2 linked regions of the Xenopus tropicalis genome follow. The protein of the gene in region 2 purifies or fractionates together with the protein of the main gene of each other region. This does not show direct contact. Links are inferred from orthologs where the notes say so. Each region holds a gene or a part of one and is shown on either strand. Other genes may lie near its edges. The genes, in order: slc39a10 and mettl9.

Region 1 (3,821 bases), about 28 Mb from region 2:
CACAGGTGCTTACAATCTATGATCCCAATAACATTACCAAAAAAAAAAAATAAAAATGCCCATTTAGCAACAGTCAGGTAATGTGGGCGCCATGATATTTAAAATGGGTCACCATTCAGAAAGCACTGGATCATCTTACCTTCTAAAGGCTTAAGTTGAAGCCATTCTGCATCAGACCTCCGATTTGAGCTGTGATCAGATAATTTTCTGCCAACTGCAGCCTCATCCAATTTCTGTTTTCTCTTTAGCCACTTCCGCTTCCCCTACACAAAAGAAAATTGCCAATTCCCCATTTAATTTGAATCCAAATGAGATGCCACTGTGTACTTAATTAGCACATAGGAACCACTTGCTAAGGGCCAACGCAAGGGGAAGTTATCATCAGACTGTACTGGGCAAGCTGTGAAACTGACGCTAATGGCCAAGAGTTGTGCTGCAATTATACACACTTAAATCATTCTGCTATTAAGCATCTGTTTGCAAAACAAATATTTCATTAACAAATACATTTATTGCAGACGGCTACAGGAGAGAAGAGGGAATGACAAAATATCTACATGAGCAAGAAATGAAAAGTAATAAATTCATGTTTCAACAAAACAGGTTTGTTATTTCAAATGTTTTATTGTAAAATATATGTGTCACAGTTTAACTTTTATAAACTCACAGTGGCACGTAAGTACGATATAGTCACATGGTGAATGTCCAACAACCACTATCTGAAGTGTAAATTTAAAACTAGTGCATAATTTCCTTATTTCATTTATTCCTGCTATGCAACTATTAACTGATGTATTTTGGGGAAAAAAAAAAAAGTTTATGTGACAGTATTTCTTCTGTTTAATTTTTTCAGTTTCATTCTTCATTTCCCAGGGTGCCACAGCCATGTGACTTGTGCTCTGATAAACTTCAGTCACACTTTACTGCTGCGCTGCAAGTTGGAGTGATATCAACCCCCTCCCAGCAGCTGATCAGCAGAACAATGGGAAGGGAGCAAGATAGCAGCTCCTAGTAGATATCAGAATAACACTCAATAGTAAGAAATCCTAGTCCGGCTTGGGACTACTCCAGTTACATGGTAGTAGGTTACCTGAAAGCAGTTCTAATGTGTAGTGCTGGCTCCTTCTGAAAGCTCAGACTCAGGCACAATGCACTGAGATTGTGCCTACACACCAATATTACAACTAAAATAAAAAACATTTGTTGGTTCAAGAATAAAATTTTAAATGGTAGAATGAATTATTTGCTAAGTAAACAGTGTAATTTAGAAATAAAAAGTTTAATAAAATTTGTCTTCATTTTTTATGTCCTATAGTTTAATTATTTGCTGCCTTTTGCCTCTTTCCAGCTTTGAAATGAGGGGGGGCTGACTTGGGCAACAAAAAACTTGCTCTGTGAGGCTACTGTTACTTTATTACTTATCCTTCTATTCAGGCCCTCTACCATTCATCCTATAGTCTGTAATTCAAGCAGCTGAAACTCTCCATCAGAGAGCTGCTGAACAACAAGCAATGAAGACCAACTGCAAAGTGTCTCAGCATCATCAGTGATACTGGTACTCAGAGTGCAATATAACAAATACTATAACTATTAAATAAATATTTTGTACATACCATTCTTTCCTTGTAATGTTTAAACATCCACAGGCAGTTCTCCACAATAAACAGGAGATAAATTCCACCCAAAGCAACAAGACCCTTCATAACACCGTCATACTCGCTGAGAAAAGACTGATCCTCACTGTGCAGAGATTCATGATTGTGCTCGTGACTGTGATTAGGGGCTTCTGTACCATGATCATGGCCCCCTTGTGACTGATATATAAAAAAACCAAAAAAAAAACCACATAAGACAAAAGTATTATTCTCTTAGAACAGTAGATTACTGTGACAAGAATGAATACACAGGGAATGAACATGTAAGGGTATGCAGAGTGTGCAAACTAGATAGAAGCAATCTAGTCCGTCCATATACCATGAATAGCAGGCACCCATTTTGCAGGTGGGTTACCTGTGCACTGGTAATTATTTTCCTCGCAAAAACCAAACATGGAGTCTGATCCTTAGGTCTAGGTTCCTGCTTGCCCTGTTTAGTTTAGAGATTAAAAAAAAAAAAAACCTATAGTTTCTTTGTTAGAACAATAAGCAAACAGCAAGTTCATTACCATATTAGCTATATTCATTGCACTATGCCGCACAAGAGAGATATACTACCACTGCCCATTTAAGAAAAAATACTGGCAACATTGCCTGGAGGAGCATCTGGCATTTGACTATACTCTAAATGCACCCCTGCAGACCTCTCTTTACCTCCAAGACAGAACCTAAGGTTTGGGAAAAGGGGTACCTCTGGCTACCGAGCCTAAAGATAGAGAGTGGAGAGATCTGCAGTGCTCTATGTGAAATACATTTACAAATTAAAGCTGTTATAAATAATTATTAAAATGTTTAAAAATTGGAATTATTATACTTTCTTTGATTAGTCAGAATTCTTTGGGATTTACATTCTTTAACGGGTTTAGTTTTGTAGTGGTGGCAGCCAGAAGGTAAGTAGGAGATGCATTTTAAATAGCATTGCTAATCACAAGTCAGTCATATACAATAAACAATCACATTTACTGAGGGGCTTTAGATATACATCTTAGAAAGCATATGGGTCACATGTTAGACATTTGTGATAAAAAAAAAAAGTGCAATACTTACATGAGGTAGCAGATGAAGCAGTGCATCCCCACTGAGCGTTCCAACAGCTAAAGCAACCAGGAAGTTGAGAAGATACTTGAAGCAGCCTTGGTTAATGATCGGAATCAAGATAACACCAAGTAATGAGAGCAAGCTTATGACAGTGATTGAGATCAGGCCGCAAATCCAGGCTGTAAAGAAATAAAAGCAATGTAAATAAATGTGTATAACGGTCACAAATATAGATCCATTTTTTCAGGATTCTGACAAACACCAAAATCTTGCATGAAAAGAACTGGCCTAACACCAAACCAAATTTGAATCCTATTGTATTCCCAAAGGGAGGGGGAGAATCTGCGCACAAAACTTATAGTATAGTTTTTCTAACTAATTGACACTTGGTACATTACAATTAATTCATTCTAATGTTTAATTCTACTGTTATTCTTGAACAAAAATATATATTTTTTAGCTGTAATATTGGTGCGTAGGGGCAATCTCAGTGCATTGTGACTGATTCTGAGCTTTCAGAAGGAGCCAGTGCTACACATTAGAACTGCTTTCAGATAAATTGAGTAGCAGAAACAATAGGTTAACTAAAGGAGTCATAAATTGGTTGAGCTGGACTTGGATTTTTACAATTAAGTGCTTATAGAACATCTACCACTAGGTGAGGAATGGGAGCATTTTTAGCAAAACAGGTGTCAGGGAGCAGGGGGGGGGGGAATATCGCTCCAACTCCCAGTGGAATTTATCAGGGAAACTTACCTGGGAAACTAAGAACATGGCTAGCCCAACATCACATTTAAATATAAAAAAAACTGTTTGCTCGAGTGCTATTAACAGATGCATTTTGAAAAAAATGTTTTCCCCCTGACAGTACCCCTTTAAATGTCGACCAGGAGTTGTTCATCCACTCCCTACAGGAAGGAGATACTTTCCCTATGTAGTGTAATCCCGCCAAGACACTATGTATTGGCGGTACTATATTCACTATATAAACAGGGGTGTCGCTGTAATAGAAGATGTGGTTGGATATATGCAATGTTTTATTACTATTTCCTGATAAATCAACCATCGTTGGATACTGTATAACCAATAAAGATAAGTTATATGGTGGGGTACACCTCACAATAGCAT
Region 2 (4,586 bases):
GTGTAAACATGTTTATTATGTTATTTTTGCACTTTACTATATTCCATATTTGCTTTAATCCAGGTCCATTCAAGTACTCATAGCTACATCAATATAAAGACAATAATGCAACTTAATATTGTTTCTCATTGACTGGGAATGTGGTGTTGAAAATGATACTTTAGAATGGTAAATAGTTCCACCTGTTAAGCACTACTATAGTTGTCTAGGATATTATCTATAGCTATGTTCAAACGTTGTGTCTTGGATATTATTTCTGTATCTTGATTTTTTTTTTATATGATTTTTGGTGTTAGTATAAAGGTCTTTGTCAGTTAGCAATGCGTATTTGTGTTTTTCTTTATATGTATTTTTATCTGCTCCTAACTTCCAAACTGTCCCACTTGAGTCATACATTTCTTGGTTCCTCATGAGAGACCCAGGGCTAGTTAAAGGCTTGTCAATGATTTGTTAACTAAGGCTGTTTTTCCTGCAAATTGGGGAAAGTCTTGTAGACCAGTGCAGGTCTGGACTGCGATTTAAAATAGGCCCTGGCATTTCAGTACAGAAAGGCCCAAACAGCCCTCCCAACAGCCCAATACATGACTATGGCATCTTTCAGCAGCCCCTCTGGAATTTGCCAGAACCCACAGATTGCCAGTATGGGCCTAGACCAGCGGGTTCTCACCTGTCAGTGTCATTTTGACACAAGTTTCTCCAGATCAATTGAAATTCTATTTTTATAGAGAAATGAAAATATTAAGAGTAAATATTGTAGTGTGAGATCCAGTGCCATTTCTGCCATAAAGTAATGGGAAAGCCTTACCCTTTCTAACTTTCAAATGGGGGGGGTTTCCACTGACCCAGCACCTAATAAAAACCACTGCTCTGTGAGGCTGTAATTTTATTGTTTGTTACTTTTTATTAATTATCTTTCTACTGAGACCCTCTCCTATTCATCATCCAGCCACTCATCCGACGTGTCCTGATATGTTGTGCAAGTATTGGGCCAAGCCCACAGGGCCAGGGGTTTCAGGCCGGCCTGCACATCACTATGATAGGTTACAAGCCTGGCCAGTAAAAGTCATGCTTTATGTCAATGTTGTTAATAGGGAAAAAAATAATAGAAAGACTGTAGTTTTTCCCTTGAAATAGTTGGCAACCCTCCATCTACCTCAGGTGGATTCACATAAATCTGGCCAGTCATACTTACTCACTGACAGACCCACTATAGCTCAATGATAACTGGACATGTACATCCAGCAATATGTCATTTTTACCTACAGTTTTCCCCACTGCCCAGAGGCAGAGCACATGCCCTTCCATTCTTAAAAACTGTCCCTTCACACATCCTCAGCCTAATCATATAGTCTATAAACCAATGAGAAGCTGAATACGCGGTTATGCAGTTTCTCGTTGGATCCCAGGACCGTGCATGATAGAGAAGAAAAGGCCGTGCTAGAGCGGCTGATCTGAGCTCTCGCTTGTGCACTGTGAGCAGCAAAGGAATGAGGTCCGGGCGGAAACACTGTTTCCTCTGCACAGGTTCCGCTCCTTTCTTTATTTTTCCATTCTCTCCACCCCTCTCTTGTATTCCACTCCTCAGGCTGATGTGTACATCCCGCTGGGCCATGGCCTGCTCCGGTCCCGGACGAAGTGAGTGGGCGCTGCTCAGATGAAACTGTTCGTGTGCTGGATAATTAGCTACCTGCTCTGCCTGGCCGGGCTGAGGAAGATGTGGAGTGGCCGGTACCTGAGGAGTCACCTCAGCAGATCCCTGTACATGAATATGATGAGCCACAGCCAGGCCCCGTACTGGGATGGGAATCAGCAGGTGTGTAATGTCACTCTGGTGGGGGGCAGGAAAGTAGTGACACACCTAGTACACTAATCAGCCCCCCCCCCCCCAACCCCTCAGGTGTCCAGTCATTAGCACCCCCATCTTCTGTCTAGTTCAGAGATCAGCAACCTATGGCAGTGTTTCCCAAACTGTGGGGCCTGGAACAGTGGCAGGGGGGCTCAGCATGCTGGCAAGTTAGGTCAAGATTTGAGGAGCACACTGATTTGCTTGCCTAGATACAAATGAAAGCCCAGATGTAAAGGTCTGTTAAAGTGAGATACGGTGCCCTACATTTGTCAGAACTGAGCTTTGTAATCTAGAAATATCTAAAAGCCTGATGTAGATTTGCCATCTCTCAACTCGCACTGCTTGTTTGGGCACAACTTGCGTGGGATTTTGAAACTGAAAAGATTAGGAGTGGTAGAATGGCAAGGTGCATAAGAACAACCAGATAGTACACTGAAATAAGGGGGGGTGGTGAATTCATTGTAGCAGCTTTTAAAGGGCACGTAAATTCAAAATTAAAATTTTGCCTAGTAGACAAAAACTCTTATCCTAAATCTGAAGTTCTGTATAATGCCCCTTTCAGTTTGCTTAGTTGCTACAATAGGTTTATTGTTTTAGATTTGGACATTAACGTTTGTGCCTCCTTTGCAGTGGTACTTTTGCGACACAGAAAAATTAAGTGATTGCCTTCGGCCGGTTTTCATCCAGAGTTACTTAGACCATGGAACCCAGACATTCCTGAACAGAAGTATTGAGAAATCTGGCTGGCTTTCCATTCAGCTCTACCATTCCTTCATGTCCTCTGTGTTCAGTATGTTTATGTCCAGAACATCAATCAATGGGTAAGTTCTTTACTTCTTGTATATGAAGAAGTGCTGTCATGTATATGCATTTCTGTTCACTCACCCATTGTAACATTAAAATAAATAACCCAAAGGATAGTATCTTATCTTTAATGCCATAATTTACTATATTAGAATTGCACCATTATATTATATTATATAACTGTTACCACTAGTTTGCAATGTAATGTTTATGTGTATAATGTTACTCAAAATAACAAAAATAAACAGAACTGAGCATAAGCTACCATATACCGTATCCATATAATTTTACTGACATTGGTAATAAACACTGTCTCTTGGAAGCTCAGACTTAGGTAGAGTTATTGAAAATGGGATAAAAATGTAGTTGGCTACGAATAATAAATAAGTTAAATAACTTATGAGTGGTGTAATCTGAGGCCCAACAAAGTTTCAGTGTACCCAACTGTCAGGCCCACATGTCAAAGGCAACAGGCTGATCAATCAGATCTGTCAGGGAGTAAAGAGTGTCTGCAGCTCTTTCTTCTTTATCTACCACCAATAAAGTGAAATTTTCAGGTTGAACAGATACATTTTTTGAAACTGAATAGTTGCTATACATGCCCTGATGGTCAGGCAGTATGGTCAAAATTGGTCAAACCTGGGTACATACAGCTAGCCTTTTCCTCTCTTTGCAGGTTGCTTGGAAGAGGGTCAATGTTTGTGTTTTCACCAGAACAGTTCCAAAGGCTTCTCAAAATTGACCCCGAGTGGAAATCACATCGCTTGTTGGATTTAGGTGCAGGGGATGGGGAAGTGACTAAAGTAATGAGCCCTCATTTTGAAGAGATCTATGTTACAGAAATGTCTCAGACTATGATATGGCAACTTCAAAAGAAAAAGTACAGGTCAGTTATATAAACAAATTCTGTATCAGGTGTGTATGGAACACTTAGAGATCACTGGTTGTTTGCTGTTGTTCCTCGATAAGTGTATAGTTTAAAGAGAAACATCTCCTTTTTACTAGTTTACCTTAAAATGCGTATCCATCATCCGAAGGAACCAATTATCTGGGTATAACTGATACCTGGAGCTTCAGACTATGACTTAAGCAGCGCTGGATGTTGGGCTTTTCTTTGCTTAAATTCAGGAAGTTGGGCAGGAACTTAGCTACCAGTTCTGATTATTATGGTTGCAGAAGAAAGTTTGGGAGTTTTTACTGCTGAAAACGTTAATCTCTTAAGGAAAAAAATATTTTCTTTTTTCCAGAGCACTGGTTCCTGGGCATTGTATGGATACCATGGAAAGCCATGGAAAGCTGTTAGGATCCCTAAACAAAAATTTACTTCAGCCAGCTAAGCTTAGACAGTCTGCTTAGGTGCAATAAATTAATAATTTGATGTCCCTTATATGGTAGTAAGCAGCTACTGTGAATATTAGATGTAAAAGCAGTATGATAATATGAGAGGGAGCTGCCAAAATACTGATAGAGATGTATTATTATTATTTGGCACCATGCTTTAAGTCTTAAGATACAATAATATGATCTGCCTCAACCCCCTCAGCTAAGGGAATAAGTATGTGAGTTTCTTTTTATTCTTCATGATACTTATTCTGGGACATATAGATATTATAAGCATGTTTTACACAGTAATGCCTGTTATGCCTGAGATATAGATGGTAAAACTGTAACCTGTTTGTCCCTGACATAAATGAATTCTTTTCTCATATCTAGAGTGCTTAATATTGATGAATGGCAAAGCACAGGATTCCAGTATGACGTTATTAGCTGCTTAAACCTCCTTGATCGATGTCATCAGCCAGTGACATTACTGAAAGAGATGAGAAGTGTTTTGGAGCCAACTAGAGGGAGGGTAATACTGGCACTAGTATTGCCGTTTCATCCCTACGTAGAAAATGGTGAGTTGTATTGCAACAATTTGTTGCATCTATTAAAA

What was found.
Region 1: the proteins of mettl9 (region 2) and slc39a10 purify together in Homo sapiens (co-immunoprecipitation; 3 studies listed by BioGRID and IntAct, with this or other methods). This does not show direct contact. The link is inferred for Xenopus tropicalis from reciprocal best matches to the Homo sapiens genes METTL9 and SLC39A10.

What each region holds. Positions count from the first base shown.
Region 1 is NC_030685.2:52,802,985-52,806,805, forward strand, and holds part of slc39a10 (zinc transporter ZIP10), read right to left. Parts: intron 2,873-3,821; coding exon 2,703-2,872; intron 1,815-2,702; coding exon 1,614-1,814; intron 264-1,613; coding exon 140-263; intron 1-139. UniProt on the Homo sapiens protein: Zinc-influx transporter. When associated with SLC39A6, the heterodimer formed by SLC39A10 and SLC39A6 mediates cellular zinc uptake to trigger cells to undergo epithelial-to-mesenchymal transition (EMT).
Region 2 is NC_030685.2:25,156,813-25,161,398, forward strand, and holds the start of mettl9 (methyltransferase-like protein 9 precursor), read left to right. Parts: upstream 1-1,556; 5' UTR 1,557-1,654; coding exon 1,655-1,813; intron 1,814-2,476; coding exon 2,477-2,667; intron 2,668-3,326; coding exon 3,327-3,536; intron 3,537-4,363; coding exon 4,364-4,548; intron 4,549-4,586. UniProt on the Homo sapiens protein: Protein-histidine N-methyltransferase that specifically catalyzes 1-methylhistidine (pros-methylhistidine) methylation of target proteins.